4 linked regions of the Pelodiscus sinensis genome follow. The protein of the gene in region 3 purifies or fractionates together with the protein of the main gene of each other region. This does not show direct contact. Links are inferred from orthologs where the notes say so. Each region holds a gene or a part of one and is shown on either strand. Other genes may lie near its edges.

Region 1 (7,755 bases), on a different chromosome or scaffold from region 3:
TGAAATTCTACAGGCTCCTGAAATTTCTAAATCTCCTTTAAATTAAATATTTTAAGCCCATTACTTCTTGACTTGTTCTCAGTGTATAAGGAGAAAAACTTCTCCTCCTCCTCCTGACAACTTCTTACATATACCTCGCCCTTCTTCTCTTCTCCAGACTAAAAACCATCATTTTTTCAATCTTTCCTGATAGCTCATAATTTCTAGACCTCGCATCACTTTTATTGCTCTCCTGTGGTATTTCTGCAATTTATCCACATCTTTCCCATAATATGGTGCCCATAACTGGACATAGTATTCCTGCGGAGGCCTTATCGAAAAAGTGATCATGTGTTTCATTTTGGCCGATACAGTCCCATTTTTAGACCGTCATGACTATTCCAATTTTTGACAAACCTAGGCAATTATCCTATTTGCTCTTACCAACTGTTCGTCCGTTAGCAAGAGCAAACTGGAAAAATACATAGTTTTGCCAAAAAAAAAAAAAAGGGACAGGAGTGTACCTTGTGCCAATGTAGGATGTCCCATTTCCCTTTGGGAAAATATAGTCACCCTACATCAGTGCTCAGTAGAGAGGAAGAATTACTTCTTTTCTCTGATGTATAACACTCCTGCTAAAACGTCCTATAATAATGTTTGCTTTTTTTTTTGTAATTGTACCTACCACATTGTTGTCTCAGATCTAGTTTGTTATTCACTGTTACACCTAGATCCTTTTCTGTCATAGTCCTTCCTAAGCAGTCATTTCCCACTCTGTATTTTTGTAATAGACCCCTTGGGAGGGACAGACAGGATGGAATTGATCTCACCTTCATCACTTTTACTATCTGTAATTCAGGCTTCATTAGGAAGTGATTTCACAAAAACAGGACACCCACTGGCCTTGTCCAGTTTGTCCTTTATATTTTCCCCAATATGCACTGTAGGATGCTGGTTTGGGGTGTGATTAGGAGAAGATTGAAGAATGCTATTAAACACTGAGAAGGTATGGTTGGAAAAGCTAACTTCAGCTTTTCCTGCAGCACTAATCACATGACTGTAACCACTGACTGGGCATTTTATTGTGAAGGAGAGGGAAATTGTTATGGCTTGTCTTTACCCACAGCCACCTTTAGTTTATAAGGGTACATCTACATAGCAACATTATTTTCTAAATAACTTAGACCACATCTACACAGGAGGCAGTTATTTTGAAATAATGTCGAAATTTGGGACGTAAGAGACGTGGCAACTAGTCGACTATCCAATAAACAAGATTATCAGACTGTCAACTAGTGATGCAACTAGTCACTTCCACCTCCTTGCTGCCGCTATCAGAGAGAGGAGTAGGAGTCAGTACTGGGGGGAGACAGCTTAAAAGTCAGTTCCCTCCAGCACTGCCTCCATGGGGGGCAGGGGAGGTAAAGGCACAGCGGAAATGGTGCGTGCGAGGACTGAAGCAGTCTCCGCTTGTGCTGGTTCTGCGGTGATTCTGCTTTTGAAATGAACCTGCTGGGGCTCTTGTACATTTCAAAGGCTCGGGTGCTGCAGAGACCCTGGCCAGGCAGGAGTCCCCACTGGTCACTCAGGGCTTCCTTTTGAAATGTACAAGAGCCCCATTAGACCCCACTACCCCCGCACTTCCTGGGAGGCTTCTATCTTTGAAATGTAGCAAGAGCCCAGCAGGAGGCGCCCTTATAGACTAATCAAATAGTCTATTAACTATTTGATTAGTTAATTAATCTAAATTTAACATCCCTGATCCATATACTCTCAAGCTGAAGGACGTCTTACTTCAACGCCTGTAACCCTTGTTGTACGAGGAGTAAGAGAAGTCAAAGAGGGCTCTATTTTGAAATAAGTGCCGTGTAGATGCTCCCAATTCCAAAAAGCTATTTCGAAATAAGCTGCTCAACTGACATAGCTTGATTTGCATAGCTTATTTCGAGTTAAGCCCCGCTGTGCAGACACACCCTAACTGGCCTCCATTCCCCCTGGCCCAATGAAGCCAACACTGTGGTGCCTGCCCACAGAACTATGCTGATTGGTGGAAAGATCACAATCACAACTAGCCAACCTGACTTATTACTTAAGGGCAGGGAGAGAGTGCAGAGGGAGGATTTTGCCTTGCAGGTAGCCAATGACATTAGGGAATAATAAACGAGAGTCGTTGCTGTGCTGCAGAAGTTGCTGGGCGGATACAGGTTGCCCACTCCCATCAGGCCAAAGCAATGTGGGTTTGAGCCAGGCCCTTTCCTCCTTCCTGGTGGCAGGAGAGACTAGTCACCTGGAGGACTGCTACTGCCACATTGTGGGGCAGAAGTGGCATCATTTCCTCTCCTCGTGGGAGACCCATTCTTCCCAGCTTTCCTGGGACATCCTGCCCCTGTCGCATCCCCTAGTGGTGGCTGGGCGCAGGCAGCATGTGACCGCCTCCTGGGCAGCTGCTGAGCCCCCTCCCCTAGTGCTTTGGGGGCACTTGTGCTGCCCTTTTCCTCCCCCTCCGAAAAGGCCTGCTGCTCCTCTTTCCCGTTCCCCCTGTGGGGGCAGAGGATGCTCCCCACCTTCCCCTACTGGGGGGCTGCCCCCTGGGGAGGCAGAGCCCACTCCCCCCTGCGGGCAGAGGGCTGGGCCCCCTCCTTTCCTGGCGGAGAGGCGGCTCCTTCACCTCCCCACGCCCCGCGGGGAGCCGGGCTGGGGCCCCCTTGGGCGTGGGGCGCTGGCTCCTTGGGCTGGGCGCAGGGGCTGAGCTGGGCGCCAGGCTCCCTCCTCCCCAGCGCGCTACACACAGCGCACGCCTGGAGCCCCCGGGCCCGGCCCGGCGCGGCGCGGGGAGCAGAGCCCGGGCCCCACATACCTCCCACTCGGTACATGTTGGCCGCCATGTCTGCGCTCCGCGCCCTGCTCCTGCTGCCGCCTGGGCTGGGCCGGGAGGGAGCGGCTCGCTCTGCCCCCCTGCCCGCCCCGGGCGCCGCCGCCGCCGCCGCCGCCGCCCTCCCCGGAGCTGCTTGGGGCGGGGCGCGGCAGGGCAAGGGTTAAAGAGCTGCCGGGCCCGGAGCCCTCCTGGCTCGCCCGTGTGGGGACGCGAGCGGCGCCAGCGCACGGATGGCCCTGCCCGGGCGGACGCTGCACCAGCGCCGTGTCCCGCTGCGCAATGGGGGAGGAGGGGTTAAAAGTTTCCCTCGTGGTTCTGGCCCCAGCAGGACCAGCGGGGACGCGGTCGGTTTGCTCGGGGGGCAGGAGCGCACTGGGGCTTGGAGGCGGGTGGTGCATTGGTACGTGGGGGCAGGAAGTGCATTGTGTGAGTGGCTTAGCATAGGCACAGCGGAGCAAGAGGCTAGGGCGCTGGGTGGGTTCCTGTGTGTGTGTGTGTGAATGCGCCCCTGCACGAGGCGTGGGCGTAAGCATGGAGCGGCCTTGGCTAGCTGGGATTCAGTATGTGAGTGTGACCCCGAGCAGCACAGGTGAGGGGCTGTACATGGAAGGGCTTTGTTGTCTGCTCGTGTAGTGGCCAGTGTGCACCTGTCCGCCCAAGCACTGGAATGTGTGTCTGTGCGTGGGTGCACCAACCTATCTCGGTGTATGTGACTGAGCGCACGTTCTTTTGTGTGCTCCTGCATGGGTCTAGGTGAGCCTGCATAGCTGGGTGTGTCTGAGGTTGTGCCTGTCTGTACAATATGTGCGTTTGTGTACACAGAGTAGGTTTCCTGCCCCTGTAAAACCGGGCATTTCCTTTGAGAGAGTTATTGTTACACTTCAATTGTCCTTCGCTTTCTGATTCATTGGAAAGTATTATCATTGTAAGTTGATTGTTCCTACTTTATTTCCATCAAAATGTTGAATCACAAAACTGATCTAGTCAATAATGCTGTTTATCCTAAAGTTCTTGTCCAGTGCAACTTTCATATGGTGATTCCCCAACCATCACAGACCTCTTGTTTGTTGCTGCCTTTTTTATAACTTGTAGGCCAATTATTGCTATATCATTTGCATCATAGGCTTTCTATAAGTGATTTGGCAACGGTCAGTCAGCAGCAAAGATAGGATTTAGGTAGAGCTTCCCCATTCTTTGTCCCATTGGATCATAGTTTCTACTTAATATGATTTAATTAATTGCTTTATCTGAGCCATTCTGTGCTATGTTTTGTATGGTTTTTGCACTTATTCTTTAGTTTGTGGTCTTTGTTCCATGCTGCAACTCTAGAGCTATGCATGGATATAAAATTTGTATCCACATCCACAAAAAATGAGCATGGGTATCTGCATTGATACCCGTATATATGAAGTGGATATCTACAAACTTGCAGCATTCTGGATACAAAATTTGTATCGGCATCTGTATCCACAAAAATGAGCTGTGAATATCTGCAACCCTGCCTGTAGTATAGAGAGAATGACTGTAATGACCACTGTGCTTATCAAATAGATTCTCCCATTTGGTAACTATCATTAAAAAGAAGTCGCTTGCCTTTTTATTCACTGAAATATGTTAGATTTTCATTTGCTTTTCCCTGATGTTGGAGCATTTGTGTGTTTGTTTAGCAATAAAACACTATCCATTCTTCAGTTCTGATACTCTCCTTGAATCAATATTTGGTGGCATATGAAACTTCTTATGCTGTTTTTGACAATATTGCTCATTGGTGAAAAGCACTCAGAAAAGTCTACAATATAGCCTAGAAAACAAAGACTTCTAGCAACTTATCTTGGAATCAATAAATGCTGAAGAACTGTTTACAAATAAAACTGATTCAACAGTGTTCCCAAAACATCAATATTTATGTAACAAATATACTCCCTTGTTTATTTGAAATTTATTACATGAAAAACAACCATTTAACAGCTGGGTTCTAGTTTGGCCTGTTCCCTTTTAAAGAAAAGGCTTCTCTTTTGTTGTTGTTTTTTCTTACAGAGAGGATGATGGGTCATTCATTGCATGTCCCAGAATTTCTGCTTGTGTAGCTTGAGCATTTTCAAGCTGGCATCTCATTTCTTCCCTGATCTAAAGGGAAATGTAGCATAGAAATCAAGCTGTTGGGGGGCTAGAGGAGAAGAATCATTAGCCATAATAAATATGAGTTTCCTTGTCTTCAGTGCATATTTAAGTAAATCGTATTCCAACATCATTTTTTATTAAATGAGCCTGTGACTATTAGGTTAAGATTTCTGGTATGTTGTTGAACACTACGCTTTTTATTTCCTGACTTAGGGGTTCCAGTGGAAAAACTCAGTGGTACTGTTGCTGCAACACATTACATGATAGGTGGCTCAGGTTTCTCCATTTCATGCACTCATCTCTCCCCCACTTTGAAAAAAAATTGTCATTTTTGAAAGGAAAGTCTGAATTCCCTATCACTGGAAGGAAAATCTGCTAGATGCCCCTAGGAACTCTGTATTCAGAGAGCAGAAGCTGTACTTCAGCACACATTTCTCTGAAGGGTCTGACATCTCATCTGGAATTTCAAAAAGAATCCTGCTTCTTAATACTTCCTCAAGTAGTGAATGATACCAAAGCTTAAATAAAATGGAAAAGGCAAAGAAGTGCAGTTTTGCAAGCAAGGACACACTTAATTCACAGGGTTGATTAGCCTGTTCTATGCAGTCATTTTCACTCTTTAACAATGCCTTTGGGCTTTTATGCTCAGTCCAGATCTGCACTGCAGCACTAGATAAGTTTCCCACACACAAAAGCTCCAAAGCTTGTTTCTCACCAACAGAAACTTGGTCCAATAAAAGATATTACCTCACCCACCTTGTTTCCTCATTGTACTCAGATCTGACAGGAGGCAATCTCTGCACTTTCCTTCCATGGGCAGGAAATATGAGCTGAAGATTTTACATCTATATGGGCAAAAGGAAGGTATTGATTGAAGAATATACATTTTTCCTTCAAGCACCTGAAAGTTACAGGTTGACCCTCTGTAGTCCTGCACTCTTTAGTCTGGCAACATCCATGGTCTGGCATGATTTTAGTTATGTCTGCTTATCGTGGATGTGGCCAAGTTTCCTGCACTTCTATAAAGTTTTTCTAAAACCACCAGTCCTGGCTCTCAGTGTTCTGTGCTGTTATTTAGCTCTACCCCTAAATATCTTCTCAGAACCCAGTAAGCAGTGGAAGAGTAGGTAATGCTGCTACACAATATTGACCTTCTGTTGTTCAGCAAATTCTCTGGTTCGGCACTGGTGAGATCCCAAGGGTGCCGGATTAGAGAGAGAGGTTCAACCTATATATGGTCCCAATGACCCAGGGAAGGACAAGGAAAACCAAAAAAAGAATGGTTACCAGGGCATAGAAAATCCATCCCTAGTTTTATAGTCAGCGGATAATAGGGATGTTAGAAATTGGTTATTTTAATAACTGTGTAAACACTAAATTTCATAATGGTTACTCATGCCTCCCCTCTGGGCAGGGCCAGCAGCCAGTGTGCTCCCAGTCCCACTCCCGAGAAACCCCCTGCTACCCTAAGCTGTTGCCTCCATAATGGTCCCAGTTAAACACAACAACTTCCCCTTCCCCGTGCTCCGTGTTTAAAACTCAGACTGGCAGGCTGGCTCAGTCCCAGCCCGCCAATCTGAATTTTAAATGAAGAGCATGCAGAGGAGCCGCCTGCCATCCTGTACTGCTGCCTCTGATACGGAGGCAGCACACGGGAACCGGTCCATCTGACACTTTGTTTTGTTGCCTTTGTATCAGAGGCAGTAGCAGCCCCGTCCGTGGGCGGGGCAGGGGAGAGAGACGGCCAAGCTCCCCATGAACAAAGTCTGCTCCTGCATCTCTGTGGGACATGGGCGCAACCTCTCTCTGCAGAGAACTCAGGGCCCCTGCGGACAGGAGCTGCTGCTGCACTATGCTGCTGGGTCCCACATGGATGGAGCTACTTCACCACAGACTGGCTCCTGCCTGCCACCCTGCTGCCTCTGCATGAGAGGCAGCAGCATGGGGTGACAAGCAGCTGTCGTACATGCACTTTATTTAAAACTCAGAGCTGCAGGCTGGGACTGAGCCAACCTGATGGTCTCAGTTTTAAATGAAGAGCCCAGGGGAGGGTTAGGGGAGTCAGGCATGGTTGCAACTAACTGGTTACCCGGGTAGCCATTACCATCACTAGTGGATACTGGGATAGACTTCAGAAATTCCTGGGTGTCAAAGCATGCAGAGCAAGCTTGATGAATAAAATGTATGTACTTCAGTATTAAGCATAAGAACCCGGACTACCTCATGCCTGTAGTCACTTACTTTTGTCCTAAATCAAGTGGGTTGGGAGCTACTGTCCCACAGAAAAATCAGTCAGGGGCTGCACACATGTGAGAAGCAAAAAAACCCAAACAAACTCTTAGGCTACATCTATACTACAAGGATGCATCTAGACTGGCAAGTTTTTCCGCAAAAGCAGTTGCTTTTGCGGAAAAACTTGCCAGCTGTCTACACTGGCCGCTTGAATTTCCACAGGAACACTGACTTTCTACTGTCTGAAATCAGTGCTTCTTGCGGAAATGCTATGCTGCTCCCGTTCAGGCAAAAGCCCTCTTGCACAAATGCTTTTGTGCAAGAGGGCCAGTGTAGACAACGCGAATTGTTTTGCGCAAAAAAGCCCCGATCGCGAAAATGGCAATCAGGGCTTTCTTGCGCAAAACCGCGCCTAGATTGGCACGGACGCTTTTCCACAAAAAGTGCTTTTGCGGAAAAGTGTCCGTGCCAATCTAGATGCTCTTTTCCGCAAATGCTTTTAACGGAAAACTTTTCCGTTAAAAGCATTTGCGGAAAATCATGCAGGC
Region 2 (8,140 bases), on a different chromosome or scaffold from region 3:
CCACACACCCCATCCGAACCTACCCTCTCCCAACCCCTCGTCCTGCACACCCATCCAGCCCTACCCTCATAACGCGCACCCCATCCAGCCCTACCCTCTCCCGACCCCTCATCCCGCACACTCCATCCAGCCCTGCCCTCTCCCGACCCCTCATCCCGCACACCCCATCCAGCCCTACCCTCATAACGCGCACCCCATCCAGCCCTACCCTCTCCCGACCCCTCATCCCGCACACTCCATCCAGCCCTGCCCTCTCCCGACCCCTCATCCCGCACACCCCATCCAGCCCTACCCTCTCCCGACCGCTCATCCCGCACACTCCATCCAGCCCTGCCCTCTCCCGACCCCTCATCCCGCATACCCATCCAGCCCTACCCTCTCCCGACCCCTCATCCCACACACTCCATCCAGCCCTGCCCTCTCCCGACCCCTCATCCCGCACACCCATCCAGCCCTACCCTCTCCCGACCCCTCATCCCGCACACTCCATCCAGCCCTGCCCTCTCCCGACCCCTCATCCCGCACACCCCATCCAGCCCTACCCTCATAACGCGCACCCCATCCAGCCCTACCCTCTCCCGACCCCTCATCCCGCACACTCCATCCAGCCCTGCCCTCTCCCGACCCCTCATCCCGCACACCCATCCAGCCCTACCCTCTCCCGACCGCTCATCCCGCACACTCCATCCAGCCCTACCCTCTCCCGACCCCTCATCCCGCACACCCATCCAGCCCTACCCTCTCCCGACCGCTCATCCCGCACACTCCATCCAGCCCTGCCCTCTCCCGACCCCTCATCCCGCACACTCCATCCAGCCCTGCCCTCTCCCGACCCCTCATCCCGCACACCCCATCCAGCCCTACCCTCTCCCGACCGCTCATCCCACACACTCCATCCAGCCCTGCCCTCTCCCAACCCCTCATCCCGCACACTCCATCCAGCCCTGCCCTCTCCCGACCCCTCATCCCGCACACCCCATCCAGCCCTACCCTCTCCCGACCCCTCATCCCGCACACCCCATCCAGCCCTGCCCCTCTCCCGACCCCTCATCCCGCACACCCCATCCAGCCCTGCCCTCTCCCGACCGCTCATCCCGCACACCCCATCCAGCCCTGCCCTCTCCCGACCGCTCATCCCGCACACCCCATCCAGCCCTGCCCTCTCCCGACCCCTCATCCCGCACACCCCATCCAGCCCTACCCTCTCCCGACCCCTCATCCCGCACACTCCATCCAGCCCTGCCCTCTCCCGACCGCTCATCCCGCACACTCCATCCAGCCCTGCCCTCTCCCGACCCCTCATCCCGCACACCCCATCCAGCCCTATCCTCTCCCGACCCCTCATCCCGCACACCCCATCCAGCCCTACCCTCATCCCGCGCACCCCATCCAACCCTCCCCTCCCCCAACCCCTCATCCCACACACCCCATCCAACCCTACCCTCATCCCGCGCACCCCATCCAACCCTCCCCTCCCCCGACTCCTCATCCCGCACACCCCATCCAACCCTCCCCTCATCCCGCGCACCCCATCCAACCCTCCCCTCCCCCGACTCCTCATCCTGCGCACCCCATCCAATCCTACACTCTCCCAACCCCTCATCCCACACACCCCATGCAGCCCTAACCTCGTCCCGCGCACTCCATCCAGCCCCACCCGCGTCCCGCGCACCCCATCCTGCCCTACCCTCTCCCGACCCCTCATCCTGCACACCCCATCCAGACCTACCCTCGTCTCGCACACCCCATCCAGCCCTACCCTCTCCCGACCCCTCATCCCGCACACCCCATCCAGCCCTGCCCTCTCCCGACCCCTCATCCCACACACCCCATCCAGCCCTACCCTCTCCCGACCCCTCATCCCACACACCCCATCCAGCCCTACCCTCTCCCGACCCCTCATCCCGCACACCCCATCCAGCCCTAACCTCGTCCCGCGCACCCCATCCAGCCCTACCCTCTCCCGCACACCCCATCCAGACCTACCCACAACCCCACACACATTAGCTGCTCCCCCCCAGAGCATCCAGCCCACAACCTCAAAACATGTCAGCCCCCACAACTCCAAGCCCCACATTCTACTCCATCCCTACGACCCACTGCCCCAGAGTCCCCCATCCCCTGCCAGCCCCAATTCTGCCCACAACCCAACTCTGCACTCTGCCCCAGCCCTAAGACCCCCAACCCACATGCACCCCAGATTCTACCCCACTCCCATCTCCCGCCAGCCCCCCACGCTGCTCCCAGCCCCCCTGCGTTCTACACCTGCCCCCCACGCTGCTCCCAGCCCCCCCGCGTTCTACACCTGCCCCCCACGCTGCTCCCAGCCCCCCCGCGTTCTACACCTGCCCCCCAGCCTCCCCACGTTCTACACCTGCCCCCCACGCTGCTCCCAGCCCCCCCGCGTTCTACACCTGCCCTCCAGCCTCCCCACGTTCTACACCTGCCCCCCACGCTGCTCCCAGCCCCCCCGCGTTCTACACCTGCCCCCCAGCCCCCCCGTGTTCTACACCTGCCCCCCACGCTGCTCCCAGCCCCCCCCGTGTTCTACACCTGCCCCCCCCCGCTGCTCCCAGCCCCCCCGCGTTCTACACCTGCCCCCCCGCTGCTCCCAGCCCCCCCGCGTTCTACACCTGCCCCCCCACGTTCTACACCTGCCCCCCGCTGCCCCTAGCCCCCCCACGTTCTACACCTGCCCCCCACGCTGCTCCCAGCCCCCCCGCGTTCTACACCTGCCCCCCCCCGCTGCTCCCAGCCCCCCCGCGTTCTACACCTGCCCCCCCCGCTGCTCCCAGCCCCCCCGCGTTCTACACCTGCCCCCCCGCTGCCCCCAACCCCCCCGCGTTCTACACCTGCCCCCCCGCTGCCCCCAGCCCCCCCACGTTCTACACCTGCCCCCCCGCTGCTCCCGGCCCCCCCGCGTTCTACACCTGCCCCCCCCCGGCCCTACCTCCCACCCGGTACATGTTGGCGGCCATGCCCGGGCCGGGCCGCTCCCGCGCCGCCTCCAGGTGCCGGATCCGCTGGAAAATGGAGGCTGGAGCGGCCGGGAGGGGGAGGGGAATTAAAGGGGCCGCGCCGGGCGGGGCGGGTCGGAGCCGGGGGAGGGGCCAATGGGGGCAGGTTAGGGCTGAGGGGAATAACGGGGGGGCGGTTGGAGCTGAGGGGGGAGGGGTAATGTGGGGGGGCAGGTTAGGGCTGAGGGGAATAACGGGGGGGCGGTTGGAGCTGAGGGGGGAGGGGTAATGTGGGGGGGCAGGTTAGGGCTGAGGGGAATAACGGGGGGGCGGTTGGAGCCGGGGGGGGAGGGGTAATGTGGGGGGGCAGGTTAGGGCTGAGGGGAATAACGGGGGGGCGGTTGGAGCCGGGGGGGAGGGGTAATGTGGGGGGGCAGGTTAGGGCTGAGGGGAATAACGGGGGGGCAGTTGGAGCCGGGGGGGAGGGGTAATGTGGGGGGGCAGGTTAGGGCTGAGGGGAATAACGGGGGGGCGGTTGGAGCCGGGGGGGAGGGGTAATGTGGGGGGGCAGGTTAGGGCTGAGGGGAATAATGGGGGGGCGGTTGGAGCCGGGGGGAGGGGTAATGTGGGGGGGCAGGTTAGGGCTGAGGGGAATAATGGGGGGCGGTTGGAGCCGGGGGGGAGGGGTAATGTGGGGGGGCAGGTTAGGGCTGAGGGGAATAATGGGGGGGCAGGTTGGAGCTGAGGGGGGAGGGGATAATGGGGGGGCAGGTTGGAGCTGAGGGGGGAGGGGATAATGGGGGGGCAGGTTGGAGCCAGGGGGATAATGGGGGGGCAGGTTGGAGCCGAGGGGGGAGGGGTAATGTGGGGGGGCAGGTTAGGGCTGAAGGGAATAATGGGGGGGCAGGTTAGGGCTGAGGGGGATAATGGGGGGGCGGTTGGAGCTGAGGGGGGAGGGGATAATGGGGGGCAGGTTGGAGCTGAGGGGGGAGGGGGTAATGGGGGGCAGGTTGGAGCCGAAGGGGATAATGGGGGGGGCAGGTTGGAGCCAGGGGGATAATGGGGGGCAGGTTGGAGCCGGGGGGGGAGGCAATGTGGCGAGAGGGCGGGTAGGAGCGAAGTGGGGCAGGGGCAGTACGGGCTGGCTAGTGGGGGGAGAGGGAGCTGAGGGGAAGGGGCAGCAGGGAGGCTGAGAGGGAAGTGGTGGGCAAGGGGAATAGGGCAGTGGGAAGTGGCGCTAGGGGGATGGGCTGGGAAGGAGGCAGGAGAATGGGGCACAGTGGTAGCCTTAGGGATGGATTCATCCATCCCCAGGGCCCCAGCTGCCATCCTCTGCCCTCGGCCAGATCACACCTGCTCCACACCCTGCGGCGGACAGCAAGTGGGGCCCTGCTGTGCTGGGGCAGCCGGCACTGAGGACAGGCACCCAGCAGACTCTGGAAAGGGGCAAGGGTTGCAAGCGGGAATACGAGGCACTACAGCTCTTTGCCTAGGCGCTCGTACTATACAGCATCATTCTTTGCCTCCTGCCTGCCCAGCAGAGACTGACAGAAGCTGATTACACCACTGTCCAGCTGAGATGGAGGCAGAAGGGAAGCATCAATGTATGGAGGGAGGCTGGGACCGCACCACTGCCGGAAGGAGTGACTATATTTCCCTGCGCTGAATACGGGACACCTGGTAAAATTACTCATATTTAAGCAAGTTCAAAGGCAACCCGTCACAACTATGCAGGACTCACATTCAAATTAACGTCAGGGTGACTGCCCCTTCCTGAAAGAAAGGAATAGTGCTCCCTTGGAATCTTTTGAATGACCTGCTATCGTTAAGGCTGTAGGGTTCATACGTGACAAGGTCACTCACACACACACACACACACACACACACACACACACACACCGCCATCCACCTCTCGAGATGACTGACTGATCCAACCCTCCATGTCTGGCTGGGGCTCCAGATGGACCCACCGCTCCAGGGAGCTGGCACAGCAAGCCCAGGGCAAGTTGTGGGGAGGAGCACACAGGGTCACATGCTCCCGTCCCCAGATTGCTGCTGGGGTTCACACCAGAAGGTGGCCAGCAGCAGCCTTGCAGCACTGTGCGGGAGGGAAACGATGACCTGGCCATCTTCCCCCCGCCACCTACCCTGTTCCTCTGTGGCTGGAAGCATCTTGTTTCTTCCCGCCCAGTGTTGAAAGGCAGCTAACACCTCCAGGCTGCTGCTGGCCACTGACAAAACCCACCCAGCTCCTGTCCCCCAACTACAGCATGGACAGGAAACGGTTAAGCCCTAAGGCTGCCCTGTGCGCCAGCATCCAGTGAACCTGACTGCAGGGGCTTCAGCCGAAGGAAGTTAAATTTAGATTAACTAACTAATTGAATAGTCAATAGGATTTCCATCGACTAGCCGATTAGTCTATAAGAGCGCTCGGCCTTTGAACTGTAGCAAGAGCCAGCTCGGAAACCACACAGGAAGCACGGAGCCAGCAGGGGATTGGCCCATGCTCCCTGCCCTGGCTCAGCCTTTGAAATATACAAGAAGCCCTGTGGGTTGTACATTTCAAAGGCTAGTACATTCCTTGTACATTTCAAAGGCTCAGGTGCCATAGGGAGCCTGGGGCCAGTAGGGGAGTCCCCACTGGCCTGCCCCAGCTCCCCACAGGGCTTCAGTTTTTGAACTGTACAAGAGCCCAGTATAACGACAATTTCAAAAGCAGAATCGCAGCAGAAGCGGTGGGAGTGGAGACTGCATCAGTCCTGCTCTCTCTGTTTCCTACTGTGCCTCTACCCCCCCCCCCCCCCACGGAGACGGTGCTGGGGGGAACCAGCTTTAGCCAGCTCTCCTCCAGCACCGGCTCCTGCACACACAGCCCTTGCTGCCTCTGCCAGAGGCAGTGAACGGGGGGAAGCAACTAGTCTCATCACTAGTCGACTATGCAATAGGCTTATGCTTATCGGACCATCGACTACACGCTCACATCCCTACTTCAGACAATCTGGCCCGAGAGGAGGGTGCCTAGGGGACCAGGTGCCAGGGTAGGGCAGCAGGGGAAGGGCTGCTGTTGCAGAGCCTGCAGGAGCACTGTGCATACCGGGGACTCGCTCCCCTCTCCTGCTCCAGAGCTTAGTTGACCCTCCTCCTGGCCCACACACTGGGTGGGAGGGGCTTGAGCTTTCCCAGGCCCCAGCCCTGCCAGAGCAGAAGGGGAAGGATGGAGCCTGCCCACCAAGCTGTTGGTGAGCTGAGTGCACCGACCCAGGACTGTGGGGGGTGGAGGAACAGTGGGGCTGGTAGGGGAGGGCAAAGGGGCACAGCAAGAGAGGACAGTGAGGGGCAGCATGTAAAGAGCTGATGAGTGGGCAGCAGAGATGACACGTAGCTGCCTGCCTGCAGGCACCGGCCCCCATAGTGCACAGCTATTGCTGGCCACAAATGGGAGGTCGGGAGGACAGGGCTGCTCCCCAAGAGCCGGCATGCAGCAAGAACAGCACTGGTGGATTAGCAGGAGGAGCGGCCAGCCCCACATGCTGCACCCGGTTCCATCATCAGCCACTGAACTCAGCAGCAGGACTGGCCAGTACTGGGGGAGAGGGAGGGAGGAAATCAGAACACACAAGACAATTTGCCCATTTTCAAGAAGTCAGGACACCTGTAAGAGTCTAAATACTAGTCTGTCCTTTTAAAGTAGATCTGGTCACCTTATGGAATATGCTTGACCTTTGCCGAAGTGTTTGACTATGTTAGTGGCCTACAGGGTTCACAGTTGACCCTAGCTTATTATTAGATGACAGATATCTATTCCTCCACTCAACTGGGGCCAGGATGCTTGAAATTGGCCCCAAATGGACCAATTAAGTAATATTATACCCATGCAAGTAGAACTCCTTCCTAAACCCAAGGGCTGTGTCTAGACTGGCAAGTTTTTCCGCAAAATCAGATGATTTTGTGGAAAAACATGCCAGCTATCTACAGTGGCCGCTTGAATTTCTGGAAAAGCAGTGACGATCTCATGTAAGATCATCAGTGCTTTTCCAGAAATACTATGCTGCTCACATTTGGGAAAAAGACTTTTCCAAAAGACTTTTGCGCAAAAGGGCCAGTGTAAGCAGCACAGTACTGTTTTCCGCAAAAAAGCCCCGATGGCGAAAATGGCAATCAGGGCTTTTTTGCGGAAAACCACGTCTAGATTGGCCACGGACGCTTTTCCGCAAAAAGTGCTTTTGCAGAAAAGCATCCTGCCAATCTAGACGTGCTTTTCCAAAAATGCTTAACGAAAAACTTTTCTGTTAAAAGCATTTTCAGAAAATCATGCCAGTGTAGACGTAGCCAAGCAGTTAGCATCATGACCCCTCAGGAAAAAGTTATTTTCTTCTAACATGGAACTGTAGTAAGCTAAAGAAAACCAAAATTATTCCTGAAGCTGTTCTCTCTCTGTTTCCGTCTAGTGCATCTGTTCCAATCATTCCCAGCCTTCCATGCTTGGATTTCTGCGACAGCGGTAAGGAAACAGCCTCACATTTCCCTCAACGTGAACAAGGTAACAAACATCTAATAAAAGTTAAAGAATCCCAGCAAGACACCAGCTTCATCTAGAGTTAGGTCTTGTCTTCTGACCTCAAGGAGTTTTGTCCAATTGAAAGTCACTTGAATTTTCAAATATCACAGTGAGAAACTGCTGTCCAGTAGCTTCAGCAAGGTTACCTCCCTTCACTATGGCAGCCACCAGAGTACCTTTGTAGTTAGGGTCACGTCAGTCCTGCTGGGCTTGGAACCAGCTGAAGCTACTTCCTCTTCCTTCTTAATTAGTTTTGACCATACAGAATTTCCATCTGCAATTTGTTTTGCTGGTGCTGTTCAGTACGTTTCCCTGTTTTTTTCAGGCCTGGGTTTCCTACTTTAACTTTGAGTATGCTGACAGTTAAAGAAGAAAACCAAAGCACCTTTCAGATGTGGACCCTCTGAGCTCCACAACTTTTGAACAAGACCACTCAGACCTAAAACGTACTTGTGCGATTAGCACCCAGAGGCATATACAAGTTTAACAAAATCTGCTTTAAAACCGGTTTCAATTAAAACGGGACAACATTGCTCTGTAGATGAGACCTTAAAAAAGACTGTGTGGAACCTTGGAGCCTACATCTCTCCTGTGAAAGATTCTATATGTTAGTCTGGATAAATAG
Region 3 (8,252 bases):
CGTAGGGCAAAAACAGAAGTCAATGGCAAGCTGCCAAACAAGGCCTTTTCCCATGAGGCAGTGACTCCCTTCACTCCTAACTTGGCTGACACACAAGCCAGTCCCTCAAGGCAGCCACCACATTCAACCTAACCCTGACCTGACCACTCCCACCATGTCCTGAAGTCACTCTCTGCCTCTCACCACATTCAACCTGGCCCTCTCCAATTTTCCCTCTAATTATTTCCATCCATGTGCAGAATACATTTTGTTAAAGTACATCACCAGTGGAAACACATGCTGCTGGCTGTGGGCACTCTGCTAATCAGCTGGGCAGTATTTGAATCTCTCTGGGTGGCTGTCCAAGCGCATAGCTTACAGGGAACCCTAGCCCTGACTCACCCATTCCCCTGCTTCCGATTAACCGTGGTCTCAAGTCACCCTCCGCTCCCGCCACAACCTGGCCCTGACCCAGCCACTCCTTGCTTTCAATTAATCCTGTCCTCAAATCACCCTCCGCTCTTGCCACAGCCAACATGGCCCTGACCCATTCCACTCCCACCACAACTGACTACCCCTATCCTCATATCACCCTCTGCTCCCGCTATGACAATGTAGTCCTGACCCAACCATTTCTGCTGAGAGTAACGGGCCCCATCCCATCTCAGGTGATGCAACTCTATTCAGAGGGGTGCCAACTCTTCTCCACATAAGCTAGTTACTGACCCCCACCCCACAAGACACAGCCATGCCCAGGTCTAGGTAACCAACATGGCCACGTCCTGTGGACAGCAGAGTCATCTGCACTACTGACATGCCCTCCCCCTGCAGAGAGCCCATCCCTCTTCACTGCACCACTGCTAAGGGGGCCCATCCTGTAAGGCACAAGTCAAGTAGGGTGTGGAGCCCTATTTGCTATCTACTCCCCCGGGGTCCCATCCCCAAGAAAGTACCACTAATCAGAGGGCCAAAAGCCACCTATCACCTCAATACCAGCAGGCCAAACCCTACAGGTTCCCAAGCCCCCTCCCCAACTGATCACACAGGGCATCAAGCCCTCTCCCAGGTGGCTGGTTCCTCGAGGTTCCCTCCCCACCAATGACCCATGTGGCCTGTCCTGCCTGCCAGGTGTCCTCCATATCTGCCAACTAAGCACAGGGCCCCATCCTGCCCACCAGATACCAGATGGCCAACCCCCCCCCCCACTCCTACCAGAACCCAGCATCCCCCACTCCCACTAGCAGGCCCTGTCCTGCCCAGTGGGCACCAAGTACCCCCTCTCCTGCCAATGTCCTGAAGGCCCAATATTGCCTATCAGGCAACCACCCCACACTCCTGCTAACCTCCAATACATCACAGCCTGTCCACCAGGGCACCAAACACTCCTGCCAACGCCCAGCATGCCCCATTCTGCCCACCAGTTGCCAAGATCACACACCCTTGCACCAAGCACCCACCATCCCAGAAACCCTGTCCAGATCAGCCCTGCTTACCCCTGTGGGGGCTGGGGATGGGGAGAGTGCCATGTGGTGGCCCATCCACCTCCACTGATAGAGCTGCCCTCATCTCTGGGGCTGGGGAACCCTCCTCTGCTCCCCTTTACCCCAGGAGGGGCATGAACCAACTCACAGGCAGAGGGGCACTTTAAGGGGGGGGCTCTGTGCTGCCTCCCCACTTTCGGGGGGGGGAAGGGTAGGTCCCCTTCTTCATTGGAAGTGAGGGAGGGGCATCGGGCCCCACTTCTGGGGAGGACACTTCAAGACCAATTGCCTGCACCCTTCCCCCATCCTGAACGTTCGAAACGCGGGCGGCGGCGGCGGGTGGAAACTAGAATCCCCCCCCGTCAATGTTCCAAAGCCACTGGGCAGCGCGCGCGGGGAGGGGGATTAGAAACTCTCGTACCCCACCTTAACGTTCCAAAGCCTTTGGGCAACGCGCAAGGGGGAGGGGAGGATGAACTCTCGGCCCCTCAGCGTTATCAAAGCCGTTGGGCAGCGCGAGCGGGGGGGGAAAGGGGGTGTCGGAACTCTCGGCCCGTCAATGATCCAAAGAGGGGAAACAGGGGGGGCTGGAAACTCTCCCCTCTGGGCAGCGCGCGCGCTTGCGGGGGGGAGGACGGAGGGCGGGGGTGAACTCTCGGCCCCTCAACGTTCCACTGCTGTTGGGCAGCGGGCGAGGGGCAGGGTGCGAACTCTCGGCCCCTCAACGTTCCGCAGCCGTTGGGCAGCGCGCGCGGCGGCTGGGACTGTGGGGGGAGGGAAGTCGGAACTCTCGGCCCCTCAACGTTCCGCAACCGTTGCTTGTTTACAAACAATTCCCCCCCGCCAACATTCGAAAGCCGTTGAAGGGAGAGTGGGGGGTGTTTTGGCGCCCGGCTCTGGGGTGAAGGGGGGAGGGTTGTTTACCTGGAGGCGCCTCAGCTGCTAGTGGGGTGGATGCTGCTGGTGCTGGTGCCAGTGGAGCAGCAGCAGGCGGGAATATGTCGCCTGGGCTGTTGTCCCCTGCTCCTTCTTCCTCCTCCTCTTCCTCCTCTTCTTCTTCATCCCCCTCCACCTCAGACACCACCATCTCCTCCTCCTCTTCCTCGTCCTCCCTCAGAGGGGAAGCCATGGTGGTGCTGGGGGGGGGCAGGGAAACAGAGAGAGAGAGAGAAGGGGGGAACAACCCCCCTTCACCACACACAAAATTCCTCTTCCCCCCCCTTTCAGATCACCTCAGTCAAAAAAGAACAGCCTGAAAAAGTCCCATGGATTCAAAAAGAGGGAAAAACTCCTTTTTAACTTTTTCCCCTCCCCCCCTTTAAAATATAAAAATGGGGGGTAGGAAAGAGAAAGAGGTTTAAAATATATTTAAATTCTGAGGGGGCAGCCCAGCATAATATTTGCCACAAGAGCAAGGAACAAAAATGGCCGCCCTTAAATTATTTTTAAAACAGACCCCCCCCAGGAGGGAAAAAGGGGGGAAAAATCCCCCACCCTTTTCTTTATTAAAAAAAAAACAAAATGGCTGGCTTGATTTTAAGTCACCCCCCCTCCCCACGGCATACACACCTCTTCCTTGAGGTTCACAGAAAAAAATCCCCCAAAACCCCCCTCAAAAATCAATCCAAAACAGTCACAACAAAAAAGATTCCCTCCCCCTTATCTTAATTTTTCTCCTTATTGTTGCTTGTTTGAGTCTCTCAGCTCATTGCATAGATGAACAATATTTGTATATTCCTGGCACTGGGGGGGGGGAACTGAAAGAGAAAGATTTCTGCATAAAACAAAGATGGCTGCTCTAAATTATTTCTTTTTTCTTATACTTCTCCCCTCCTCCCTCAATAAAAATATTTTTACGAGGGGGGGGGACAGAAAAGGCTGGGATTAATCAGTACTCATGCTCAGTGTGACATCAGCATAAATTGTTAAAGGTTAACTAGTTCCATACTAGTAACACCATATATATATATATATTTTTTTTTTGGTTGCTTTACTAGTTCATGCGAAAGATAAGAGAAGGGGGGCCTTCTTTTTTCCCCTTCCTTTCCTACTTTTAAATACTTCAGAAGGGAGTAGGGTTTTTTTTTCTTTAGGCTTAGGGCAAGAAAGGAAGAACCAAGAAAAAAAATAATTTAAACTCGGTCCAAATTCAGTGAAGTGCATCGAGGGGACAGATTTAACTCTGTCTTTTCCTTGGTGTTTTTCAAGAAGGTTTTACACTCTCACACAGACATACACACACAAAAATGAGATTTCCCCCCCTCGCTTTTCTATTAAGAAAAACCGCCCTTTCTTTATAGTTAGCTTTCCCCCCTGAATTTTATGTCACCCAGATAAAATCAGGGGGCAGAATGTAATTGTACCTTTTTTATTTTTCTTTTAAGGCTCTGCTTTTGGAGGGGGGAGATTTTTCTTAAACTTACAGCAAGCACTCCAAACCCATCTAGGTTTTTTACAGACACCTCCAAAACGCAAATGGAATTGGGGTGCTCCTAAAAGTATAAGGTACACAGAACTCTATGGTCCTGATCCTGTGACTGGCATTGCGCCTGCAACTCCATAGGCTTACAGTCCTTATCAATGGCAAAATAGGGGTTCAGTGATCCTGTCCAGTGTTTATTCCAGTGCATAATCCCCATAGCAATGTGTTTAGTAAGCACGTGTGGGCTTGGGCCCTAACTACAACTTGGATGCACCTCCACAGAGCCTGATCCTGAAAATGTTACAGATATATGTAATCTGTTTGCAGGACTGGACCATTAATATTAAAGAGTCTGTTCCCATGAGATGACAAGGAGTTTTGCAATAGACTTAACTAAGTACAAAATTCTACCTAGAACTGGGAAATTCCAAACTTTTTTTTTTTTTTTTTTTTGCATTTTCGTAAGCTATTTGGTTGTGTTCCTTAAAATCAGGGAGCTCCTAAAGTAAATGTATAAGGGATACAGTCTCTATAGTTTTATTTTTTTTCTTTGAAAATATCAGTATTTCAAATGCCCTTTCCCCACACTTCCAAAATAAGACCTCCTAAAGGAAGAAGGGATGCAATCTTTTCGGATTCCATCGTCTTTTCAAATGCATCTGGTTTTCTATGACTATCCTCATACATTAAAAAATGCAACAAGTAAAATAAAAACCCCAATCCTGCATGGATCTATACTAGCAGATTCAGTTGTAGGACCAAGGCCTAATTGAGGCACTCCTAACAGATCCTGTAGTTCCCTATTTGTATTTGTTAAACTTTCTCCCTTTTGTTTTCCTTCTCAGGCATATTATACCCCTAATTGTTTTGTTTTCTGTATATTAAAATAAAAGAAGAGGGCACAAATGCTAATCCCACCACAAGGCAAAGGTACAGTCCTGGGAACAATTAAGCATATGAAACGTCACAGCCTGTCTCTAAACTTTTGCAATTTTCAAATACTCTGCTGCCTAGAAGAAGCAAATAAAATTACAATTTGGGATTGGGTGGGAAAGAATTTATCTTCAATTTTTATAGGGAAAGTGTGATGATTATTAATTTTTCTCCTCTATTATCTCTCTTTATGACTGTCAGTTCCAGGAGAGAAATTTTCATATATTTTAAGACCAGAAAGAAGTGCTACGATCATAGAAAGGGCCAGAGTACTGAGTCACTACTTTCTGAATAAAGCACATTGTAGACAAAACTTCTGAACTGTAAAGACCCCCATGGCAATGTTGGTCCAAGGTAGACAGCCTCCCTTGCACATTTCCGGGGAATCTATCTGGGAAAAAAAAGATAGTAATCCGAGACAGGTGACCATTATCATGCAATTTTTACACAGGGAAAACTACCTACCAGCATTATAACTGCAGACATAATTTTCATAATCGTAATATAGCCATCAGTTCTGTATGTCTATTAATTGTGTTAAACCTGGTAGGAAAGGGTTTGTATTTGTATGCTCATCACTAGGAACGTTCAGTTAGCTGCTTAATTCTCAGCTCCATTCCCCCTGCAGAATAGTCATAAATACCCACATAGGATATGCCCATTGCCTGCAGGGAAACACTGCTTGCCAACCAAATGTTTCCCTCTGTGCCTTTTATATTTAATTCAACACCCCCTACAGCCTTTCAGGAGCATGGGCGCTGATCCCATTCATTCATGTTGAAACAGTTCCTTGGCGGTGCTAAAAGCCAAGGGTTCTGGAGGAATTTGGAGGCAAAAGGGGTGGACTCAGGTTTTACTCTTTGGCTTTAAAATGCAATAGACAAAGAGTTTTGGAGAGTTTTTTTTCCAGTTGATTTCATGATCTTTGGCTTATTTCGTCTTCTGGTTAGCTGCTTGGAAGGGGGAAAAATTAAAGGGCATCTGATAATCTGTTTTTCAAGCTGCTAATTTAATGTTTGCAAGGTGGTTAATATGGTATTATCATACCGTTAAAAATACACACCAAGAACAAGACACAAATTCATGACAATGATAAAAACTCTTCTTAAACTTGTTTGTGGCTCCTGGTTTATATTCCCCAGGGAATGGTTTGGTGGGTTGTGTGTTTTGTTTTGTTTTCTTTTTAACCTCTGTCTCCTATCTCTGTTTGGTGTTTCTTTGTAGCTCAGCAACTGTCAGAGGGAGACCACCGAAGAAACATAGCATGGTACTAATAGAGAAGTTGTAGTGTTTATCAGAATGGTTCGCCTATCACATTTTGTCTTGCAAGAGGATCAAAGAGTCGATACGGACATATCCAGTCTCCACTTCCCCCAAGGGAACTGCCTCTGTTTGCACTGGAAAAATCTTTCAAGGCTACTGTCACAGCCTTGGCCTCTTCCCTGCTGGTTTTCTAAATCAACACTTTTTTTCTCTCTCTTTAATAACATGTTAAAGTTGTGTAGCGATCTACAACAATAGGAGAATGCCACATTCAATCCTAAAGAACCAGAGGGCAAAATGCTGACTCCAGTGCAATTAATGGGAGTTTTGGATGTGGCTTCCATAGGGCCAGGCTTTCACCACAGCTCATTTTTGCAAACATGAACTAGAAAACATGTAGCATTTACTACTTCATGGTCTCGCAGGTAAGACACTGGTTGGGATCTCAGGGAAAAGGGATTAAATGTGCAGCTCTGCCATGCATTTGCTAAAGGATTTAGGGCAAGTCACTTTATCTTTCCGTGTGGCAGTCTGGTTTATTTAGGCTGTAAGCTCTTCAAGGCAGAGTCTGCCTCCTCTGCTACACACTTGTGCAGCACCCAGCATAAGGGAGTAAAATTTCAATTGGGCCTGAACAATTTCTGAAACTGAACTCTGGCTTACTACTTATTATCATAGTGGCATAGGATTTACTATGGTAAGTAATTCCAACTGTAGGGCTACTCAGGATAATATACAGATGGTAGTAACCAGAGCAGTCACTTGCTTGCAATAGGCTTTAACAGGGGCATAGGCCTTGGGTAGCCTTTGGCAGAGGGGTGGATTTTAAGTCTGGCAAAAATATCATGTTAATGTTAACCCTACAAATGTGAACTTAGTTAAGTATTACAACCTTTCCAAAGATTTTTTTTAATGTGCAAAATTATATATGATAGTATCATACTGTATAGCTATATATTTTTTAAATACATGTATAATTTTTAATATATAATTTTGCACATTAAAAAAAATCTTTGGGAAGGTTGTAATACCGTGAGATGGAAAAATTACAAGATGTGTCAAGGTTTGGGGAAATGGATAGAAGCCACTTTACTTCTGAGCATGGACTGTACATCATTTTAACCCCTAGCTCTAATACTTCTGTTCTCCTCCCCACCCCACCATGGCATTTAAGCAGAACCATTTCCCTCTCTGTGAAACAAAAATGATGATAATCACTTGCGTGTAACAATACACACTGGTCTCCTGGTGAAGATTAATTGGGCAGTAATGTGGTGTGCTGAAGATTAAAGGTCGACGTCTGAGATGGTGTAAGATGGTATACTCGCACTGACTTAGGTAAAGCTCTCCTGGTTTACATCAGCTGAGGACCTAGCCATAAAAACATTATAGAAATGTTATGCATTAATACCATCAGAAAGACCAGAGCAGCAGTTTATTTTTATTTTTTAATTATTTATTTAGGAAGTTTTAACAAGTTTACAAATCCTTGTTGTGTAAATATCAGAAACAAAATAATCATCACGGCAGTTAGCTTTTGCTTCAAGAGACACTACACAGGTATATAGTCATCCAGTCTTTTTATTTAATAAGGTGTTACCAACCATATTACCAAAAAAGCACCATTATAACACCAATGTCATTTTTAGTGACTTTGTTAAACTGAGTGAAATCTCTGTATATATGCATTTAAAGTATCAGGTATGACTATCTAATATTAATATTCAAAACATTTTGCACACGTGTCCAGTTTTTTGGTTGTTGTTTTGTTTTGCAGATGAATGTGCTTTGAGTACTGAATAAAAGGTAGCCAGATATCTAAGAATATAGCCGTCCTTTGTCTATTTTGCGTCCACAATTGCTGTATTTTTCCAATATTTTCCAACAATTTCTAATATTTCTTAAACTATTTATCCATGGTTAGGCTATTTTTCTTTTTCCAATGAGAGGCAACCATGGGCCACTCAGTTAATTACAGATAAGATATTAATTCTTCATTTCTTTTTGTGGGACCATTTCCACTAGGAAGCTCCACAAAGCTCAACAAAGGTTTTTTTCAGGGAAGCTTCTTTTGGGAACATTCGAATCTGAACACCCAAACAATCACCACAGATTAGGGATTAAAGAACTGTCTCAGATAATCTGTGTTGGAATACAGGGATTTTATCTGCTTC
Region 4 (7,164 bases), on a different chromosome or scaffold from region 3:
CTTTGAATTTGTATAAATGACAAAAGCTGCCACAGTGGAGAATCAATCCCCTGGAGCACCCTGACATAGCTGGGGAGTAGGCAGCTTGTGGAGTAGGCAGACTTTTCTTACACAGCCATTCTGAGATCTGCAGGGGATAACCCCACAGATTTCCCATTAACCCTCTATAGCCCTCCCTGCCCTATGGCAACTCTCCTCTCTCTCAGGGCTTGCCTGCACAAGTAACTTGGTTTATAACCTGATCATTGTCCCTAATTCAAGACCCATCCACACACAAAAATCCCATAGCCAGAGGGTGGTGGACCTGCCTGTCTGTATAATCTGCAGCTCAAGTTAGCACAACTCATCAGCTGCTCACACAACAACTTTGGGTAGCTCCTGTTATTTTGCAGTGTGGCCACTCTTGCTGGAGCTAGACTAAGTGGAATTAACCAGAGTGTAGATAACACAAGTGAGCTCTGCAGTGAAGACACAGACTTCAGAAGCATGTCACCACAGTCTCTATAGTCCCACTTGCACCAGAAACCCTGCAGCACAGATTATCAGCACTGTTAGGGACTCCAAGTTGGCCACCTCCCCTTGAAAAACTTGACTCCTGATCACTCCAAGTTCCGATAGAGCAGCTTCTGCAGAGGTGATTTTGGGCCAAAGGGACAGATGTCCTGCTTTTTCAGCCTCTCCACAGAATACAAAGGAAAGGGAGACCCAGGTTTGGAAGCAAACCCAGGATTTGCACTTCTAGCTGAGCTGGTGGTATTTCATTAAAACACAATAGAGAAGGATCCTCCTGAAACTCAGTTTAGGGTCCAGCAAGAAAGGAAGGAAGCCATTTGCAGTCACATCATTCTCAATGCAATGTGTGCCCCTGCAAGGACTGCTTTGTCTAACTCCCTTGGCCTCAGGCCATCATGCTGGCATTGCCACTAGCTAGAGGAAGGGCTGGTGAAGGAGGGATAATGGCAGGAGACAGAGAGAAAGAGAGAGTCCATTTTGGATAACGATTCCGATATTTTTCATTTCAAAGCATCTCTGGGCAGTAAAGCTGACAATTAAGCAAGCACAAGTTAGACAGGGATAACAGGAGCACAACACTGGACTGCTGAAAAGCCACTGAGGACTAATCAAATGAAAGAATTTAAAGCTTGAATCGTGTCATGGTTTATCAGAAATCATATAGACAGAACGAGAACAACAAAAATACAGAAAAAACTTCCCAAGTTACTTAAACTAATGGTCTCAGTAACCTATTTGCCATGGTCTTAGCCGTTTCTTTCATATGAAGTGCAGTTAGCCTTGTGTTTTCCCCTCACTCCATGACGTAAGCCAAAAATCAAAACAAAAAGCTTAGTGTCCCTGCTCTTGTATGGAGGTATTTTAGAGAATGAGACAGATTGTAGTGAGAGACAAAAAGGAACAGTTCCAATGCTTGGGTTTTTTTTTTTTTTTTGGTTTTTTTTTATGGTAATACTGCTTTATTATGTCACAAAGAATCTAAGTCAGGACCATGACTTTTTTTTTTAAATGTAACATGCTGATCTCAAGCCATGATCCTTTAAATACTGACATGCATGCTGAATTTTACACACCTTGGACCTCTCATTAAAGTCAGCTAGAACAAGCTTCAAGCTATTCTCATATATAGGTGTTTGCAGGACCACGGTTGTAGTTCATGTCTTTCTTCTCTAGCCACTGATGACAAATTCCTTTCAGTAGAATGAGATCTGCTAAAATTGCAACTCTCATTGTACCATTTGGGGACTTTTAATTTCTTTAGCACATCAATACCCCAAGAACAGAATCTCAGGCAGTGCTACAAAACCACTGAAGCATATTTCCACTCCGTCTTCAAACATCAAAACTTCTCTCTCTACCCTTTTTGTTTTAAAAGTCACATTTCTTCCTGTTGATATTTTGATATCAGACCTGTAGATGCTATGCATGTGAGTGACCTGGTAAGACTAGCTTGGTTAAACACAATTTTTCCATATTTTGTTTTAGTACCACTAAGAGAGATAAATATATGGGTGATCTCCTGAAAATACCCCACTCTGGATTAATTCCTGCAACTGTGTTCTGAATTTTCTTAATTATACCCACACACACTTTCACATGCATACCCATACAAATACACACACACACACACACACTTTTACAGCAAAGTTCACAACCAAAATTATTTTTTAAATTACTATTTCCTTTGCAAATAAAAAGTTAAATCCATCAAAGTAACTTTGCAGGGGATGGAGAAGCTGGGGAATAAAAATAAACACAGACTGGGGGAAAAATAGGTTTTCTCGAACAAGAATGAAGCGCCTAACATCTCATTCTGGAGGGAGATTTATGCAACACAAATGAATCCTCTCCAAGGCACTTTGAGTGACAATCCCAGGTTACCCAACCCTGCTGGAAAAAGGGGCTTTTGCAGATCAGGGGTGAGGGGCTTTTTTCAAAGTCCCCTTAGGGTGCAGCCCTGGAGAAAGCACAGACAGGGGACAGCAAAGCCCCCAGCCCCGAAGAGCAGAGAGCAAAGGCTGCCTCGCCACACACCATGCGCGGCCAGGCACTTGCAGCGTCTGGCCAGCAGCGGTCGCGGCTGAGCCGCGAACAGAATATTCCTGATCCAGATCAATCAGCAGCCCGAGGGAGGCGATCATGGAGGAAAGCGAACGGCCGGATCAAAAGAGCTACCAACTGAGAGGCGTCGCGCGGAGGCGGCCGGCACCTGGACGCCAGCCTGGGCGCAGCGCCCCGGGGCGCCGCGGGGCTCGGAGCGGGAGCCACGCGGGGAGCCGAAGTTTGCTCCTTGGGAAGCGCAGCGCTGTTTGTGATTAGTAATAATGGCGGATATGAATCAGCTCCGAGGATCTGACCCTACGTATAGAACTGGACAAAAACTACAGTCTGGGGCTTTCCCCAGGTATTCCTGCTGCACCACAGCGCTCTTTTTGTGCCTCCAAAAAGGGCTGGAAAACTTGCCCTCCAGTTGCAATCGGAGACTTACCCTGGTTGATGGAAGTCCCAGGGAGGTGGGCGTTCAAGTTGGGCTTGTAAGACATTCCTAGAGACATTGTAAATTCAAGAAATAAAAATGTCCTGACATTCAGTGGAGCGTCTCTGTGTCTCTCAGACACTTTGGGTTGTTTACAGCGGTAGCAGCACCGGCAAATATGGCCGTCACTTATATTGACACCCACAATGCAATATATCATCCATACATCATTAGGAGACATGAATCCAAAAACTTTAGGGGAGAAAAGGAATTCACATGCCTCACAGCTACACCCAAAGCACTTTAGATTTTTTTTTTTTTTTGGAGGGGGGTAATTTTTTTATTTTATTTTATTTTACAAAGCAAACAATAGAGCTCTTTTAAAAAAACATTGTTTTTTAAATTAACTTCAGAAACTTTTGGCAGAACTTTTGGGGTGAAGGCTTAACATGTAACTTGTTAAAAAGGGTGAGCTGGGGTTTGAGGAAATGTTTCCTGAGCAATATTAAAAGGAGAAAAAAGGTTGAGTTTGTGGTGTTAGAGTGGCTTTGATGGTTTTTGTGGGAGATGAGACAATAATCTGTATTTTTTAAAATATATATAATTTTTCCAATTAATTTTAATGATGAAAAATTTCTGCTAATAAATGTTTAAGCATTTTTCTCTCAATTTTCTATATACATTCTCAAAGGGAAAAAGGTGTTTTTTTCAAAATTATTTTATATATTATATACATTTTTGTCTGACCACCAGACCAGAGGTTGAAGGTCAATATAGACTGCAATATAGCAATGAGAGTTGTAGTGAAAATAAAAATAATTTATAATGAACTGGTTTTCTGATTGCAAAGACATGGTAATGAAAAATAATTTTCCTCACAGATTTAGAATGCTAAGTTTTAAAAATAATATTTAAAAAGTCTTAGAGATCTCTGACCCCAATACTCATTCCAACAATGGATCAATTTAATTGCAACAGAGTTATCCTCCAATTAACCCACAATAGGCCTATGGCATATTCAGTTAAAGTTATTCTAGATTTACATGAGTGTAACTGATCAGAATCAGTCTTCCTACCCCTTCTAGTGGGTTCTATAATTAAACACCATGCTGGAATTTTCACATTACATGGCATTTCCATTGTAAGAGTGTTACTCTGAGAAAGCTGTGACAGTTACAATTTCTACTATTATTTTGCAACCAAATGGAGCCCAATCCTGGCTCCATTTAATGACCGCCTTCCATTGACTTACATGGTACAGAATTAGGGCTAGAGCAGTTTTCATTTCATTCATGGCTTTACAAAAGAAGGTAGGCTTGATTCCAATTTTACAGGTGCAGAAACTGAGTTGCCTGAGGTTAAATAATTTGTATAAGGTGATACAACAGCCACTACAACTCAAGTATCTACACACCACTTCCCTGTTCTACCCATGAAACACTTCAGAGCCCTTATAGGAACAATCATGGCTGAAGCCTGTGAAATAAATTAACTTGGTGTCCTGCAGTTTCATTTTCAACTCCAAATATGTAACAAGTTACTTACAGCAGTGAAGTCCAGAGTCGCGAAGGTTATTGCTTAAACATCTAGGCTGCATCTAGATTGGCATGAGTTTTCCGGAAATGCTTTTAACTGAAAAGTTTTCCATTAAAAGCATTTTCAGAACAGAGCATCTAGATTGGCACAGACGCTTTTCCACAAAAGCACTTTTTGCGGAAAAGTGTCCGTTCCAATCTAGACGTGCTTTTCCGCAAAAAAGCTCTGATCACCATTTTCGCGATTGGGGCCTTTTTGCGGAAAACAAATCTGAGCTGTCTATACTGGCCCTTTTACGCAAAAGCTTTGTGCAAAAGGGACTTTGGCCTGATCGGGAGCAGAATAGTATTTCCGCAAGAAGCACTGATTTCTTACAGTAGGAAATCAGTGCTTTTGTGGAAATTCAAGCTGCCAGTTTAGACAGCTGGCAAGTTTTTCCGGAAAAGCTGCTGATTTTCCGGAAAAACTGGCCAGTCTAGACATAGCCGTAATGCGCGCTGTACTTCATTAACACCAGGCCTGAAAGCTTAAGGCATAAAGTTAGATGCTTTTTATCCCATATTTTCAAAATGGCATCTAAAGGGTGGCTGTGCAATTTTCAAACTCAACAGGAGTCATGCGGCTAACCCCCCCCTCTCATCCAGCACTTTCCAAATTGATGCCTGATGATTCCTGAACCTTTGTTGCAGGGTTTGCACATCACTGTTTACACTGATCCCTCAAATGCTTGTAAACCTTTGCAGAACACATCATTCTTGACCTAATTTTTATGGTCCCGATTCTCCATTACCCTGACCTTCTGCAGTCATTTATACATCTATCAAGTAAATATAGAATGGAATCTTTCTGAGTTACTAGTATTCTAGTGTAAACAAATGCATGTGATGCAGGGCCTCAGAGAATTTACTTGGGACTCACATTGACAGCTTAAAAACATACAATGTTCCTATAAGAAATGTCTTTAAAATAGTGAAGACCCTATAAAATCATCTCTCTTTAAATTACAATAATACAAGGTGTAGAGGGACCCATCTATATTTTTGAGCACTCTCCCCCCCCCCCCTTTTTTTTTCCTTTCTCCACCAATAGAAAGTTTTCAATAATTTAGGGCCAGATTCTCCATCATGGACATCTCTGCAGAGTGGGTGTCTGTTGCCACTCTGCCAGAAAAGTAGGATTTTACATCCACTCTTCAATTCTCCTGCTTAGCTGTGACGACACAATGTGCTAGACCACAGAAAATCACACCCTTATCTTTTGGCACCTGTAAGACCTGTCCAGTTTAATTGGCTTGGCTGGTTATCTTTTGTTCCCAGTTTTCACTCTGGGTAGGCCCCAGAGAAATTGGCATGGGTACAACATGACCAAAAGTGTTTCCCATCTCCCTAATGGTGTGCAGTCAATGTACAATTAGTGGTCTCTTTTCACACATTTGTGGCTGTAACAAAAAATAACCATCCCAGCTGGCACTATAATCTGCTTTGTTGGCAATTTTAGCAATGAGGCCAGAGATGAATTCTCTCAGAGATATTGCCTTTCGGCCAGGCAGGGTCATGGCATGGACCCACATCCTACAGACAGAAAACATCATTTCCATTGTCCTACATTCAGCAGCTATCAAATGCAGTAACCTCTTTTCACAGGACACCCAGTAGAGATAGAAGTTGGGCATCTTCTGTACCAATATCACATCTCTGCCCTCTGAGCTGTCTGCTCACTGGTAGCAACAGTGGACTCTTGATCTTTACATAGGTCAGCCACTAGAAGGGGACATATCCTACAGAACCGATGTGTTACATGGTTTGATGTCCTCTCCCCCCCCCCACACACTCTGGAGGCAGAGATAACTTACAAAATGTGTATGTTCTTAATTTTTTTTTAATCAAGGAGAAAGGCAATAAGTTGGGCTAGTCTCCACTATTTGACAGATGATGTGGGAAAAGCTAAAGTACTCAATGCTTTTTTTGCCTCTGTCTTCACAGACAAGGTCAGCTCCCAGAGTGCTGCATTAGGCAACACAGTATGGGAAGGAGGTGGGCAGCCCTCAGTGGAGAAAGAACTGGTTAAGGACTATTTAGAAAAGTCAGACATACAGAAATCCATGGGACCTGATTTAATGCATCCAAGGGTGCTGAGGGAGTTGGCAGATGCTATTGCAGAGACATTGGCCATTATCTTTGAAAACTGGTGGACATTAGAGGAGGTCCCAGATTACTAGAAAAAGGCAAATGTAGGGCCCATCTTTAAAAAAAAAAGGGAAAAAAGACAATCTAGGGAACTACAGACTGGTCAGCCCCACCTCAGTCTCTGGAAAAATCATGGCGGGGAACCTCAAAGAATCCATTTTGAAGCACTTGGAAGAGAGGAAAGTGACCAGGAATAGTCAACATGGAATCACAAAGGGCAAGTCATGCCAGACCAATCTGATTGCCCTTCTATGACAAGATAACTGGCTCTGTGGACATTTGGAAGGCAGTGGAGGTGATACACCTTGACTTTAGCAAAGCTTTTGATACGTCTCCCACAATAGTCTTGCCAGCAAGTTAAGGAAATATGGATTGGATAAATGGACTGTCAGGTGGAGAGAAAGCTGGCTAGATTGTTGGGCCCAATGGGTAGTGATCAACAGCTCGATGTCT

What was found.
Region 1: the proteins of CHD3 (region 3) and MTA3 purify together in Homo sapiens (affinity purification with mass spectrometry; 4 studies listed by BioGRID and IntAct, with this or other methods). This does not show direct contact. The link is inferred for Pelodiscus sinensis from reciprocal best matches to the Homo sapiens genes CHD3 and MTA3.
Region 2: the proteins of CHD3 (region 3) and MTA1 purify together in Homo sapiens (affinity purification with western blotting; 7 studies listed by BioGRID and IntAct, with this or other methods). This does not show direct contact. The link is inferred for Pelodiscus sinensis from reciprocal best matches to the Homo sapiens genes CHD3 and MTA1.
Region 4: the proteins of CHD3 (region 3) and CDK2AP1 purify together in Homo sapiens (affinity purification with mass spectrometry; 6 studies listed by BioGRID and IntAct, with this or other methods). This does not show direct contact. The link is inferred for Pelodiscus sinensis from reciprocal best matches to the Homo sapiens genes CHD3 and CDK2AP1.

Annotation. Positions count from the first base shown.
Region 1 is NC_134713.1:169,196,856-169,204,610, forward strand, and holds the start of MTA3 (metastasis-associated protein MTA3), read right to left. Parts: upstream 3,201-7,755; 5' UTR 2,865-3,200; coding exon 2,837-2,864; intron 1-2,836. UniProt on the Homo sapiens protein: Acts as a component of the histone deacetylase NuRD complex which participates in the remodeling of chromatin.
Region 2 is NC_134719.1:64,828,413-64,836,552, reverse strand, and holds the start of MTA1 (metastasis-associated protein MTA1), read right to left. Parts: upstream 3,083-8,140; 5' UTR 2,979-3,082; coding exon 2,951-2,978; exon of another isoform or gene 2,910-2,950; intron 1-2,909. UniProt on the Homo sapiens protein: Transcriptional coregulator which can act as both a transcriptional corepressor and coactivator. Acts as a component of the histone deacetylase NuRD complex which participates in the remodeling of chromatin.
Region 3 is NC_134734.1:10,542,790-10,551,041, reverse strand, and holds the start of CHD3 (chromodomain-helicase-DNA-binding protein 3), read right to left. Parts: upstream 3,262-8,252; 5' UTR 2,590-3,261; coding exon 2,385-2,589; intron 1,754-2,384; exon of another isoform or gene 1,546-1,753; coding exon of another isoform or gene 1,473-1,545; intron 1,467-1,472; exon of another isoform or gene 1-1,466.
Region 4 is NC_134725.1:31,509,056-31,516,219, reverse strand, and holds the start of CDK2AP1 (cyclin-dependent kinase 2-associated protein 1), read right to left. Parts: upstream 3,246-7,164; 5' UTR 3,231-3,245; coding exon 3,002-3,230; intron 1-3,001. UniProt on the Homo sapiens protein: Inhibitor of cyclin-dependent kinase CDK2. Also acts as a component of the histone deacetylase NuRD complex which participates in the remodeling of chromatin.